3 linked regions of the Oryctolagus cuniculus genome follow. Each later gene encodes a partner of the first gene's protein in a complex. Links are inferred from orthologs where the notes say so. Each region holds a gene or a part of one and is shown in the gene's direction. Other genes may lie near its edges.

Region 1 (4,143 bases):
TCAGACCCCAGCACCCAGCGAGTCTGCCCTGGCCGCACTCCTGTCTTTAGTCATAGCTCAGATGCCTGGACAGCAGGTGTGCTCTGCCTCAGGGGGAGTGCACAGCGGTGCACAGGGGCTGTAGCAGGGAGGATGCTGGGAAACACCCCCTGCTATTGGCCCAGGAGGCGCTCGGGATGGGAAGGCCGAGCTCAGCAGGAGCCCTGGCCCCGAGGCATGCAGATAGGGGGGGGGGGACGAAGGCCTCCTCTGGTTCTGTCCATTGCTTGTTAGGCTGGGCACTAAAGCCCCCCTTCCCTTCCAAGCCTCCCTCCCCCTTGCTCAAGGGGCTGGGCTGAGCGCCAGGGAGGCCTCAGTGCTGGCCTCGGGTGACCAGGCCTTGTCTGAGACACAAGCCCAGGGCTGTGGCTCGGGATGCCGGGGAGAAGGTGGACTTTGAGTCCAGGCCCTCCTGTTGACTAGCTGTGTGACCCTGAGCGAGTCACCCACGCACACAGGGTGCCCACCCCAGTAGGGCGGCTGCGATGTTGAAGTGAGATGCCAGCTTTGTCCAGACCGACAAGATAAGAAGAGGCAGTGGACAGATGGGGGCGGCGGAGTCAGAAAGTGGGGCGTGCCTGGCCTTACAGTGCAGGAGATCTGTTTGCCCTGGCCATGCACAAAGCACTGCAAGGCCCAAGGTGCCACGTGAGGTCGGGACACAGTCCCTGCCCTGAGGACAGGTGCAAGCAGCAGCAGCTGGGACAGGAATGGGTGCACCCTGTGGAGCAGCTTGGCCTGGGGCCAGGGGAGGGCTTCGCTGAGAAGGGGACGCTGAGAGGGAGGTGGGCTGGGGCTGCCCCGGCTCGTTTGGGGAGCGGAAGAAGGACCGGAGCTCTGAGAGGGTTTTAGGACACAGAAAGAGGCAGGGACTTCGTAAGGCCTCAGTGAGGAGTTTGCGAGTTAGGAATGATGGGAACCTATCGGAAGAATTTAAGCAGGAGTATTACTGTACCCATGAGGGTTAGGTTTGACAGTGAACCAGAGACCCTGAAAATAGCGGCTTTGAGAAGATAGAATTTTTTTTTTTGACAGGCAGAGTGGACAGTGAGAGAGAGAGACAGAGAGAAAGGTCTTCCTTTGCCGTTGGTTCACCCTCCAATGGCCGCCATGGCCAGCGCGCTGCGGCCGGCACACCGCGCTGATCCGAAGGCAGGAGCCAGGTGCTTCTCCTGGTCTCCCATGGGGTACAGGGCCCAACCACTTGGGCCATCCTCCACTGCACTCCCTGGCCACAGCAGAGAGCTGAAGATAGAAATTTAAGTGGACAAAAGAAAAACCGTTAAAATAATGCCGGTCTGACTCCAGATAGTGCCGCACCTCCTCCAGCCAGGCTGGTTGGAGATCCTTGTCCCACTCTCCCTAGGATCGGACCTTGTCTTCATGATGCAAGTCGGCTGGAGAGCTCCAGCCATCACACCCAAGTTCTGGGCGTTAGGAGGAGGAAGTAAGAGAAATAGGGTGCCCCTTCCCTTTAAAACCCGTCGCTGCCTTTCAGCGTACATCTCATTGCACAGAACCAGTCCCAAGGACGCCCCGCTGCAAAACGGGAAATGTAGTCTGTGGCCATCAGTGTGTTTCCTTCTTGGGCTTCTTGTCCGGAAGGAGAAGGGGAGAGTTGATGTTAGGAGGAAACCGACAGCCTCTGGCCTGGCGGGAAACAGAAGAGAGGCAGGACGGAGGCACCACACCCCGGACCTGGGAGGCTTCAAGGCGGATCGGTCCGGCAGGGCTCCAGGCCTATGGGTTCCAGAAGCTGGGCCCGTAGCGGTGCCGCCAGATGAGGAGCAAAACAGGAAGCCGAAGGGTGCTGCCGCACAGGACCACGCCCCGGCCCCTGCACAGGGCAATGAGGAGGTGAGGCAGGGAGGAGGGCTCTGGCCCACGGGCTGGGCGGCAGAGTCCAGGAATCATCAAATGCAGCTCCCCCCGCCCCCCCCCCCCCACCGTGGAGGGCATCCATTCCAGTCGCCCCTCAAGGAGCGAGCCCAGGAGCAGAAAGCACAGAGTTGAAGAGAGAACCACACTGCCCCCGTAGCACCATGGCTCTGGGGTGCCCAGCGGGGGGTGTTTCTCCCCTGGCACTTGGATGCTGCCGCCTTCTAACTGGGCTGCCCGAGACCCTGACAGCGGGGCCCCAGGAGGAAGCTTGGAAGACTTGGCCGAGTCTCTGGCCTGGGACAGCACCAGACTGCCCGAGGTCAGCCAGGCACCGGGGGGCAGGGTGGGGGCAGTGCCCTGACTCACAGGCCTCGCTCTGTTCCTAGCCCCAGGTGCAGGCCCCACCCCTGCTCTCCAGCCCACGCCTCCCTGAGTCACCACTGCCTCCCTGAGGCACCCAGAGCCCAGGCCCCACGGCCACCTTTCAGGTCACCACCGCCAGGGCAGGCACTCAGCAGCCCAGTGCTGACCCTGGGGAGCCAGGCTGTCTCGTTGGGCAGCCCCGCATTGTCAGCTGGGGGTGACTTGGGAACCCAAGGGCTGGGCATTCAGGACGCTGTCCCCAGGGAACCGGATTTGAGTGAGCAGGGTTGGCGTGTCTGGCCAGCCTCCAGGCCAGGGGCAACTTCCTTCCCTGGGCAGGCAGGGGCACCACTGCCACAACCCTTCCACTGACCCTGTGCCGTGGACAGACCCTCCACCTGAGTGGCTGTGTGGCCAGCAGGCCTAGAGGGCTTTGCCCCACCCCTTCGATACGGAAACCTGCTGACCACACGCCTGCTGACTTCCCTCCCTTTGTGTCTCTCCCGCCCTCAAAAAAGGCCTGTGGGTTTTCAGTACCTCCCACTCGTGTCCTGGGCCGTGTAGTCTGCCTCTCCTCGGCCTTCATCGGCGGGCTCGCAGTGGACCAATCGTCCAGTGATAACCACTGCACCCAGCCCGAGGACAACACCTCCACCCCAGAGGGCCTGCCGCCCCACTCCCAGCTCCTCCATCAGGTGTCATTGCCATCAGAGGTGTGGGCCCTGACTGCTCTCAGCACGCATAGCTCTGCCCCCAGCGGCGGCCGTGGAGGCAGAAGGCTCTGAGTCTCGAGTGCCAGCTCTGCCAGTCGCACCGTGGCCTTAGCCGAGTGCCTTCCTCTCTGGAGCTCCGAGGCTCCCCACCTATCAAATGGGGATTACGTACTTAGAGTGCTTGGCACTGCTGCGGCAATGCTAACAGGCCTCCCCAAACTGAGTCACTGATTCAGCTGAGGATCAAAGACCCAGGGTGGGTTCAGCTCTGTGCCATGCACCCCAGCTCCTCTTTCTGGGGTGAATGGGGAAGGCTGGGCAGGTTCACAATGATGATATAGGCCCCGAGTACACGGAGACCCCAGGGCTGCCTTAGGGACAAGCTGCTGCCCCCACGCCGTTCCGTGGGCCACGGCAAGGCCTGTGACTATCCTCAGAGTCAAGGAGATGGGAACACCCTCTGCCTCTAGGGAGTGCACCTGCAGAGATTCAGAGAGGGCTGAAGAAACATGCCCATTGCTGCAGCTGCCAGCTCCCTAGTGAGGAAGCGGAATGTGGGGCTGGCGCTGTGGCACAGCCAGGAAGGCTACCGCCTGTGAGGCCGGCGTCCCATGTGGGCTGCTCCACTTCCCACCCAGCTCCCTGCTAATGGCCTGGGAAAAGCAGTGGAAGATGGCCCAAGAGCTTGGGCTCCTTGCCACCCACGTGGGAGACCCGGAAGAAGGTCCTGGCTGTTGTGGCCATCTGGGGAGTGAACCAGTAGATGGACGATATCTCTCTCTGTCTCTCCCTCCCTCCCTCCCCCTCTCCCTTTAACTCTTTCAAATTTAAAAAAGGAAGCAGAATGTTTGTGCCCAGAAGCCCTTTTTGAACCGTGAAGTGCCGTGTGTGTGTGCAAGTGCCAGAGATGGCAGCTGTGTGACTTCCCCCAGAGCCTTGTGAGTCTCCAGCAGGTTTACTTACAGCCGCTGAAAACATGAGGGGAAGGGAGAAGAAGCCCGTGGATTATGCAGAGCCTTTCCTGCAGGCCCAGTGCTGTCCTTGCCTGCACAGTGTACCTAAAGCAGTTCTGCTACAGCCCCTCCCAGAGGGTGGGCCACAGGTCACAGAGGAGTCAGTAGGAATTCATCCAGTCGTTTTATTATGT
Region 2 (4,241 bases), on another chromosome or scaffold:
TGGATCACAATCAGAGTATCCGGGACTTGAACCAGGCACTTCCGACAAGGGATGTGGGCATCTCCAGCAGTGGCTTCACCGAGCCTGGAATCTAAACCCAAAGTGGTGGGGTTCGAGGACAAGGCCCTTTCCTATGCTCCTCAAGCCTCAGTGACCGCCGGGTGTGGGAGCTTAGGCTGCCTATCTCAGGGTGCAACGTCTTCAACTATGAAGTCAGGGAGCTGGACGGACGCAGGGGCAGAGCCCTGGACAGCTGCCAGCCTGGTGTGTCTGCTGAAGGCCAAGGCCAAGCCAGGGCCTCATCTTCCTATCGACAGAGTTTTCTCCTGAGCTGACTGTAGTGAAGGTAGAGACTTGGAAGAGGGAGGTGGAAAAAGAAGCTTGGCTGGGGCTCCAGGGCCCAAGGGAACTTCCCCATACTGAGACCCCAAGCTGGGGCTTTGGCAACACCTAGGCCCTGGCAATTGCACGGGCCAGCTCGGACAACAGACGCAGGCGGCTGGACAAGGGCCCAGGGAGGCTGCAGGGGTGGAGCAGCATTCACCCTGTGCTTGCTCCTTGCAGGGCTGCAGCCAGCACCCTCCCAGGGCCCCTCCCAGGGCCCCTCCCAGGGCTGGCAGCTGGGTCCCCGTTGAATGCTGTGGAGCCCAGCAGGACCCAGCTCCTTGGCTCCAGGAAGAGGGCTCCTCTGCCCTTGTCCAGCCCCGGAGCACTCGGAGTGTGCTGTGACAGGACACTGGGGGCAGGAGGATGTGTGTGGCTCCATTTCACAGCAAAGGTGGCCCTGAGAGGACTAGAAGGGAGCCAGGCTCTCGCAAGGGTCTGTAGCTGGCTCAGCAGCCTCACGCCTTACTCCCACACAGATCAGAAGTGGGGGGCTGGGGGCGGGGGGCGGACACTACGTGGGGCGGGGCGCCCTGCCGGCTGAGAAGCTACTCAGAATGTGGGACCAGAGAAGCAGCCCAAACTGTTGCAAGCATTTGGGGAGAGGGGGAAGCATCCCCGACGCCGCCCCTCTTTCTTCATTAAATAGGAATGTTCAGGGAACTTCTAAGGGAGATAAAGAAAGGGTCGGGGAACACCGGGAGGCTCCCTCCGTCCACTCCGGAGCCGGGCGCTCGGCTTTCCTGCCCAGGGCAGTGGCGAAAGACCCCAGCCGCAGCCTCAAGCAAAGGAGGCGCGTCGCCGTCAGACGGGGCCTGAGGCGGGCCCGACGTGGGCAGCGGCGAGGAGCGGAGGCCCCGCAGCGGGCAGCGGCAGGGGCCGCTCAGGCGCTGGGCAAAACCTTGCAGGGCTTCGGCGCCAGAGAAACCCTCTCCTCACGCGCTGGCTCTCTCGCCGCCGGCCCCTGCCGGCGCAGCGCCCCTTGCGGACGCGCTGACCCCGCGGCGGTGGCGCTGGGCGGCGTCCCGGGGCGGGTGGCCCGGTGTCTGCCGGGGCGGTTGTGGGGCGGCGCCAGGGCCCGTCCAGAGTTCGCCCTGTTCCCCGCCCGGCCGCGGGTGGGGAGCGAGGCGGGTCGGGGGCCGCGGGGCTCCCGGGCGCGTGGGTCCCGCGGCGGTGGGTCCCGCGGCGGTGGTGGCAGGACGCGGGTGCCAGCCACCCCGAGCTGCAGCGACCGCACCCCGGGCGGCCGAGCGCGGCTCTGAGGGGCGGGCCGCCCGCCGGGGCCGGGACACCGGGAGAGGTTGGCTGGCGCAGCTTGGGGACGCGGCCGGTGAACCCGGCGCGGGTGCCGACTCGCGCAGAGGGGGAGCCGGCAGACGTGGGTGGTGTGAGCGCACCGGAGGACGGAGGCTGAACTTGGTGTCCCCGGGAGCGCCGACCTCGGTGAGTGGGGACAGCTACCCCGGGAGCGAGAGCGCGGGCCCTCGCACTGGCACGTGCGAATGTGAGCCGCTGCGTGCGTGCGCCCCCGGGGCCGCCGCTGAACTTTTGGAACTGGAGTGTGTGTGCGCACTCCGGCTGGGCGCCGGTGTGGAGTGGGGCCAGAGCAGTGGGAGCTGCGCTGCGCTGCGCGCTGGTCCGCCCCCGGGGCGGGGGGTCCACTCTGGGTGGCCTTCGCGTCCTGGGGGTCTCTAAGACTGGGGGGCAGGGGCGGGGCGCAGCAGGGGCTGTGGGAAGGGTCAGTTAGGAGAGAAGCCCGCCCCCGGACTAGGGCTACCAGCGGCAGATCTGGGACTCTCCAAAAGCGCTCCCAAGGGCCAGGCCCTGCTGGGGAGGGACCTGTGGGGGCCAGGACTGTTGTTTCTCTAAACATAGGGTCCCCGGCTTCCCTGAGCCCCCGCCCGGAGGGTCTGGGACCCAAGTTGGAATGAGGGTGAGCTTTTGAGGGTAGGGGGAGGCCGAGGAGGTGCCAGTTATCTGTGGGGGAGGGGGAGGAGGAAGGAGGGTCTGCCTACCCCAGAGCCCTGGAGGCTCAGAGACCTGTGTCCCAGCCTCACCTGGCCGCCATGGGACTCTGCTTTATAAGGAGGGAATGATAACACGGATGTTAATAATGACACAGAAGCTGAGGGCTCATGTTCAGCCCCAGTGCCTATCTGGGCCGGCCTGCAGCTTGGGGGTGGGGACACAGGTGTCACTCCCTGGAAGGAGCCTCCAGAAACGGGCGTCACCCTGTGCCCCCGCCCCAGGACCACTCGGAACCCCTCAGCCTGCCAACCCTTCTGGCCACGACCTGGCGACTGCACCCTTCAATAATAGCAGGTGACCTCTGCTCTGGTGCACACGAGGCTGTTACCACTCTCTGGCTCAGGACATTATCTTCCATGCCCACTGCCTGATAGGCCCTGCAGCTCTCATCCTCCTCACCTGAAGAACTGCTCAGCCAGGGCCCCAGTTCAGATGCCCCCCCTTCCAGGAAGCCTTCCTTGATCACCCCCATCAGGTTGGAGCCTCTTCTGGTGCTGTGAGCTCTGGTCCTTCTTACCCAGGACTATCACAGTCCATGTCTATCATCTGTGTCCCTCGAGCCAGGTACAGGGCCTCCGGGAGGGCAGAGACTGGCCCTCACCCGCCTCTGTGCTGCCAGCACGCTGCGCAGAGCTGAGAGCAGGGGCGCTCCCTCTACCCTGCCTCCCGCCGCTGAAGAGCTGCCTGCAGCAGAGCTCCGTGCCGTTACAAAGACGGGGAACAGGGAGCAAACTTATCTGCTAGGGGGCACAGGCTGCCGGAGCACTGTGGTCTGGGCCGCTGGGAGTGGGGGTGCAGGCTGAAAACCTGGATTCTCTGAGAGGCAGTCGGGAGCCGTGGACGGATGAGCAGGGGGGAATCGTGGTCAGAGAGCATCTCAAGAAGCCTCTGTGCGTGGGGGGGGGGGGACCTGAGAAGTGCTGCGGCAGGTGGGGCCGGGCCACCCCAGCCACGCAGGCCCTGGCCCCAGGCCCAGGCTCCCCCACCCCCCGAGGCCTCTGATGCTCCTTCTGTGGAATCTGGGGACCCTTAGGACTCTCCCACCCCCACGGGAGCCAAGCAACCTTGCAACTGATCCCCTTCTAGCTCTGCCCCCAACTTGCTGGGTGCCCCTGCCCTGCCAGCTCTGAAAGGACATCAGCACCAGTGAGGTCCTGAGGGGGGGGGGGGGGCTGGCGTGCAGGGCTTGTCTCTCTCTTGCTTTATCTTGAAGATTTTTAAATTAAAAAGTTTTTATTTGAAATGCAGAGTGACAGAGCGTGAGATCTTCCATTTGCTGGTTTACTTCCCAAATGGGATCTCCAGCGTGGGTGGCAGGTGCCCGAGCACTTGGACCATTTTCTGTTGCTTTCCCAGGTGCGCATTCGCAGGGAGCTGGATCAGAAGCAGAGCAGCCCTCCGAATGGGCTGCCAGGGTCACGTAGCGCTGCTGTATCTGCTGTGCTGCAGTGCCAGCCCTTGTCACTCTTGTCTCTGGCCTGCATTGAGCTGCCCCGGGCGCTGCTCACAGGGTCGGCCGAGCTGGGCTGTGGAGAGAAGCTGTGGCCTGTCCTTCCCTGTTGCCCTCCTGCGCTGGATGCACGGGGCTCCCAGGCTGGCCCCTGGGTCCCCTGAGGACTGGTTGAGAGAGAGTGACCTCATTAGAGCTTTGGTTTCGTGGCTGTAGCCATTGTGCCTCTGTAACATCAGCTTTGCCATCTGTACATTGGGAATATGATCCTGCCTCTTTGAACACAGAGCTGCTGCGAGGATTCTTAGGACCGTGGCCAGGAAAGGGCGTTGTAAGCTGTGAAGAGCTTTAAAGAGCAATGCACAGGGCGAGTGTGTGA
Region 3 (4,329 bases), on another chromosome or scaffold:
GGGGCATCCCCGAGGCTCTGGGGGCTGAGGGTCTGGCTCCCCTCCAGGGGCGGGCCAGGGGCTCCCTGAGCCAATGGGGAGAGATCCTGCAGCGCGGCCAGCCCAGACGTTAGCCGAGGGCCTTAGGGGAGGAAGGGCTCTCTGCAGAGCCACAGCTGGAGCTGCGTGCGCACTGCCCTGGGTCATCCGTGCCAGGCTGGACACAGCAGTTTTCACGTCCTCCCCTGTCCTGGTAGACAAAGCCCCATGGGAACGCTCGGGTGGGGTTGGAGGGCAGAGGAGGCACAGGTGGTGTGGCTGGGCACTGTGGGAGTCCAGGCCTCAGCCCGCAGCGCTGTCCCGTGATCCCTGCTGCGGGAATGGCAGGAGGAGGCGAGATCGGGTTGGTCCCAGGTGGGCCTGCTGGGTTCACAGCCCTGCCGCAGGCTTCCAGGTCACTGCTGGGGCAGACACGGATTTGGGGTGCACTCGAATTTCAGGAAGCCTCTGCCTGCAGAGGAGGCGCAGCACGCGGAGGTGGCCTTGGGCATGGGGTCCTTCCCCTCCGCTCTGCAGCTGGGGACCTGGGGCTTGTGGCCCCTCAGCTTCTGCGCGTCCAGGGCGCTGCAGGCAGCAGCCGCCCAGCACCACAAGGGGGAGAGAAACCCGTGCTGCTTCCGCGGCTTGTGGACAGGACCGGGCCAGGCTGAGCCAGGAGCCTGGGGCTCCAGCCTGGTCTCCCACGGGAGCAGCAGGGGCCCGACTACTGGGGCCATGGGCATCAGCAGGGGTCAAACCGGAAGCAGAGCGGCCGCGACCTGAACCAGCGCTGGACGCCTTGATCTGCTGTGCCAACCTGCCAGCGGCTGCTGTCCGCAGTCCTCCTGCGGCTGACTCAACCTGGGCTATCCATGCTCCGGCGCTGGCACCAGGGGCAGGCTGGGCATGGAGAGCGCCACCACGCCTGCACTGCACACTCAGGGCGGGCCCTGGGGCCTGCGGCACCAGAGCTGCAGGCTGTGTGGGCAGGGCGGTGCTGAGACCCTCGCTGCCACACGTGCATCCACACCAGCCCAACAGGAGCCTGGGCCGGCAGGAGGGACGCCCCCAAGGCCCCTGAGCCCCCTGCCCCTTGGTCCTCTGCCCGCTGCCAGGGGCAGTGACCCTGTGCTCACCACAGCCCTGGGATCAGGGTGCTGCGTCTGCATCTTGGGGACCCAGCGGGCCAGGAGTGGGGAGGGGGGAGGCCTCCCAGCTGCTCTGGCCGCCACATCACGCCCACCTGCCCTGACCCAGATTAGCGCGTGGGCCCTGGCACCCGCTCCCTAGGGATCCAACCCTGAGCCCGGGAGGAGCTGCCGTCTGCGAGCTTCGGCTTCCCGGTCAGCACACGCCCCACACCCGCACTTCCCTGCGTAGGTGCCAAGCGCCCAGCACATGCAGACCCCACTAGCTGTGCCTTCCCCAGGCCGCCGTGGGAAAGAGGTGCCGCGCCCGGCCCGGCTCTCTGATTGGCTGGCGGCTCTTGACCAGCTCCGCGATTGGCCGGTGGTGTCAGCCCCGCCTTCGCCGAGGGCACAAAAGCCGCAGCGCTCAGGGCCAGAAGTAGCCGGGTGTACCTGTTGGCCCTGCAAAGCTCGCACCCTCCCTGGTGACAGCCATGTGCCGCACCCTGAGCGCGTTCCCCGCCTCCTGCCTGGAGAGGTGAGGGGGCCTGTGGGGCCACGGGAGGTGGGGGCGGGCCAGCTCTCCGGCCTGTGGGCTTTGGACTGAGGTAGGGCGGAGGCCGCCGGCCGTGCACACAAAGGGAGCCTTCTCCGAGGCCCGAGAACCCGGATCCCTGGCAGTGCGGAGCAGGAGGCGGCAGGGGGCACTGCTGCAGACTGGAGGGCCGGCGCTGCGAGCCCCCGTGTTGGCCGAGCGCATGGGGAGCCCCTGCGAGCTCTGGGTTTATCTTGCAGAGCCAAAGAGTTCAAGGCGCGCCTGGGCGACTTCCTTCAGGGACCGGAGCTGAGCCCCCCTGCGGGCAGCGACCCCAGGAAGCCCAGCAGAGAGAGGTAGGGGCTGCAGGACCGGCTGCGGGGGTGGGGGTGGGAGGCTGCAGGGCCCCAAGCCCCTGGCGGTGACTGCAGCCAGGGCACGTGGGCCTGGCAGTGGCTCAGCCTCCAGGGCGCCTGTGCACCTGGCCGGGGAGCCCTCCCCTCCTGGGTGTCGGCTGCGCCAGGCGCTGGGCTCTGGGCATGTGGGAGTCAGGGAGCGGCGGCCTGGACACAGGACGGAGGCTGGAACTGCCCGTGGGACGGACCCCTGCGTGTGGGACTGCCGCCTGCCGCCGAGCGCCTTGTCCTGAGTGCTGGGGTTTGTGTGGGCTTGGCCGTGCCCTTGTTTTCCTGAAAATGTGACACGGTGGCTGTTTGCAGCGGGAAGCCCTCGGAAGACACGCTGGGCTGGAGGGAGTCGTTCGACCTGCTGCTGGGCAGTAGAAGTGAGTGGGGCCACGGCCCCGGGCGCCCGGCGCTGACCCCCGGGGAACACAAAGGCAGGGCCGGGGGGTGGGGGGTGACGTCCTAAGAATGGAGCCTCTGCCTGCAGCTGCTGTCTTTCCCGCTGACCCTCCCCCTCCTCCCCTAACCCCAGAGGGAGTGGCCGCCTTCCGCGCCTTCCTCAAGACGGAGTTCAGCGAGGAGAACCTGGAGTTCTGGCTGGCCTGCGAGGACTTCAAGAAGACGCGGTCGGCGGCCAAGCTGGCCTCCAGGGCCCGCAGGATCTTCGAGGAGTTCATTTGCACAGAGGCCCCGCGAGAGGTCAGCGCCCCGCAGGGCCCCTGCTCCCTCCCCACTGAGAGCCAGGCTCAGAGGCGAAGGCCAGGCTCTGAGCCAGCCCTGGGTGCTGTGCCCACGGCCGGCCTCTGTGCACCCCTAGGACACCTGCTTGGGGGCTCCACCCACCGCCCGGGGAGTTGGCCAGCTGTTGTCCCACGCCTTCCCTGGCCCCAGGTCAGCCGTCCCTCCGTGGGTTTGACAAAGTCCGTGGCGCCACCTGGTGGACAGACATGGTGACCCTTGGCTCTGCATCTGCGTTTCGTGTCTGAGCACCTCTGGTCCGGGGCTCCAGTTACACCCAGGACACCGCAGTGGTCACAGGGCCACAGCGAGAGGCCCTCCCTGCACAGTGATGCCCGGAGCCGTTGAACAGATGCCCACGGGACTGACCTGGCTCCTCCGGGGGGGAGTGTCCAGCGGCCTGTCCTGGAGGAGGCCGGCCTCTCCCCTCGTGAGGGATCAGGAGCGGCTGTCAGACACGGCAACTGCGAGGGGCAGGCACGGAGGCCAGAGTGCCGCGGGCCGAGAGCAGGGGAGGAGGGTGGGCAGGTGGGTGGGGGCGGTGGGCAGCGGACAGGGGACAGGTGGGCGGTGGGCAGGGGGCAGGTGGCAGTGGGCTGGTAGACAGGTGGTTGGTGGACAGGTGGGCAAGTGACAGATGGACAGGTGACAGGTGGGCGGGTGGCAGTGGGCAGGTGACAGGTGGCACCGTGGCTGTCCCTCTGGGTCACGGGGAGGGCAGCAGCGGTGCCCTCAGCCTGGTTGGGTCCTGGCAGGCTGGGGGGGAGCAGGGCAGCACCGGGGGCTTCTCCAGGGCTGCGCAGGCAGGGGACAGAGCGGGCTTCTCCCTCACGACGTCCTGTGTGCACCTGTGAATTGAGAGCAGGGACGCCCCTGGAGCAGGGCCGGGCCCTGGGCTGAGAAGCGGCTGGCAAGGACCCAGGAGCCCGTCCTGTCCCCCCGCTCACCGTGCCTGCCCTGACCCAGGTGAACCTCGACCATGAGACGCGGGAGCTGACCAAGAGGAACCTGGAGGGCGCCACGGCCGCCTGTTTCGATGTGGCGCAGGGCAAGGCGCGGACACTGATGGAGAAAGACTCCTACCCGCGCTTCCTGCAGTCGCCCGCCTACCGGGACCTGGCCACCGGAGCCCCACCCCGGCCTTCACACACCTGAGCCCGGGCAGCCCCCTCCCCGGGCTGCCCTCTCCCCCGCGCGGGTTCTGCAAAGCAGTGTGCAGCCATGGCAAAGGTCGGAGAGGTCACGGCTACTGGAGCCCCCTCCTCCGATACACGGACCCCACCCCGTGCACAGAGCCCCGGGCATGAAGGAGGCTGTGGGCGGGGCTCTGGGGGAGCGGCTGGGAAACACAGGGTGCCCTGGGCTGCCCAGTCCTCGCCCAGTGCAGGGAAGGGGCCCTGCAGGCGGCACGCCCTCACCTGCCCTCACCGGCCTGTGGCCACCCAGGGCCTCTGCTTGGACCGCGTGTCCAGCCCCACAGGCTCCTCCAGGCCAGCGAGCAGTGTGG

What was found. Proteins that work in one complex are often made in the same cells at the same time.
Region 2: the proteins of GNAO1 (region 1) and P2RY2 are in contact, whole or in part, in a cryo-EM structure (PDB 9K20), measured with the Homo sapiens proteins. The link is inferred for Oryctolagus cuniculus from reciprocal best matches to the Homo sapiens genes GNAO1 and P2RY2. Residues at the interface, in NP_066268.1 of Homo sapiens: Ala31, Lys32, Asp33, Val34, Leu195, Gln305, Glu309, Glu318, Ile319, Tyr320, Cys321, His322, Met323, Val334, Phe336, Thr340, Asp341, Ile343, Ile344, Asn347, Leu348, Gly350, Cys351, Gly352, Leu353, Tyr354; in NP_002555.4 of Homo sapiens: Asn66, Ser68, His130, Arg131, Gly134, Val135, Pro138, Leu139, Leu142, Arg143, Met221, Arg224, Leu225, Ala229, Tyr230, Gly231, Thr232, Ser233, Pro237, Ala239, Lys240, Lys242, Ser243, Arg245, Thr246, Leu308.
Region 3: the proteins of GNAO1 (region 1) and RGS16 are in contact, whole or in part, in a crystal structure (PDB 3C7K), measured with the Mus musculus proteins. The link is inferred for Oryctolagus cuniculus from reciprocal best matches to the Homo sapiens genes GNAO1 and RGS16. Residues at the interface, in NP_034438.1 of Mus musculus: Glu64, Asp65, Gln68, Ser75, Arg86, Thr117, Val180, Lys181, Thr182, Thr183, Gly184, Ile185, Val186, Gln205, Arg206, Ser207, Glu208, Lys210, Lys211, His214, His236, Glu237, Asp238, Glu239; in NP_035397.2 of Mus musculus: Glu85, Phe86, Ser87, Glu89, Asn90, Glu124, Ala125, Pro126, Glu128, Val129, Asn130, Asp132, His133, Glu134, Leu161, Lys164, Asp165, Ser166, Arg169, Lys172.

Annotation. Positions count from the first base shown.
Region 1 is NC_091449.1:40,103,760-40,107,902, forward strand, and holds the start of GNAO1 (guanine nucleotide-binding protein G(o) subunit alpha), read left to right. Parts: upstream 1-1,331; 5' UTR 1,332-1,422; coding exon 1,423-1,896; intron 1,897-4,143. UniProt on the Homo sapiens protein: Guanine nucleotide-binding proteins (G proteins) function as transducers downstream of G protein-coupled receptors (GPCRs) in numerous signaling cascades.
Region 2 is NC_091432.1:64,598,831-64,603,071, forward strand, and holds the start of P2RY2 (P2Y purinoceptor 2), read left to right. Parts: upstream 1-1,421; 5' UTR 1,422-1,827; intron 1,828-4,241. UniProt on the Homo sapiens protein: Receptor for ATP and UTP coupled to G-proteins that activate a phosphatidylinositol-calcium second messenger system. The affinity range is UTP = ATP > ATP-gamma-S >> 2-methylthio-ATP = ADP.
Region 3 is NC_091444.1:912,886-917,214, reverse strand, and holds RGS16 (regulator of G-protein signaling 16), read left to right. Parts: upstream 1-1,509; 5' UTR 1,510-1,639; coding exon 1,640-1,683; intron 1,684-1,940; coding exon 1,941-2,036; intron 2,037-2,399; coding exon 2,400-2,464; intron 2,465-2,616; coding exon 2,617-2,783; intron 2,784-3,788; coding exon 3,789-3,977; 3' UTR 3,978-4,112; downstream 4,113-4,329. UniProt on the Homo sapiens protein: Regulates G protein-coupled receptor signaling cascades. Inhibits signal transduction by increasing the GTPase activity of G protein alpha subunits, thereby driving them into their inactive GDP-bound form.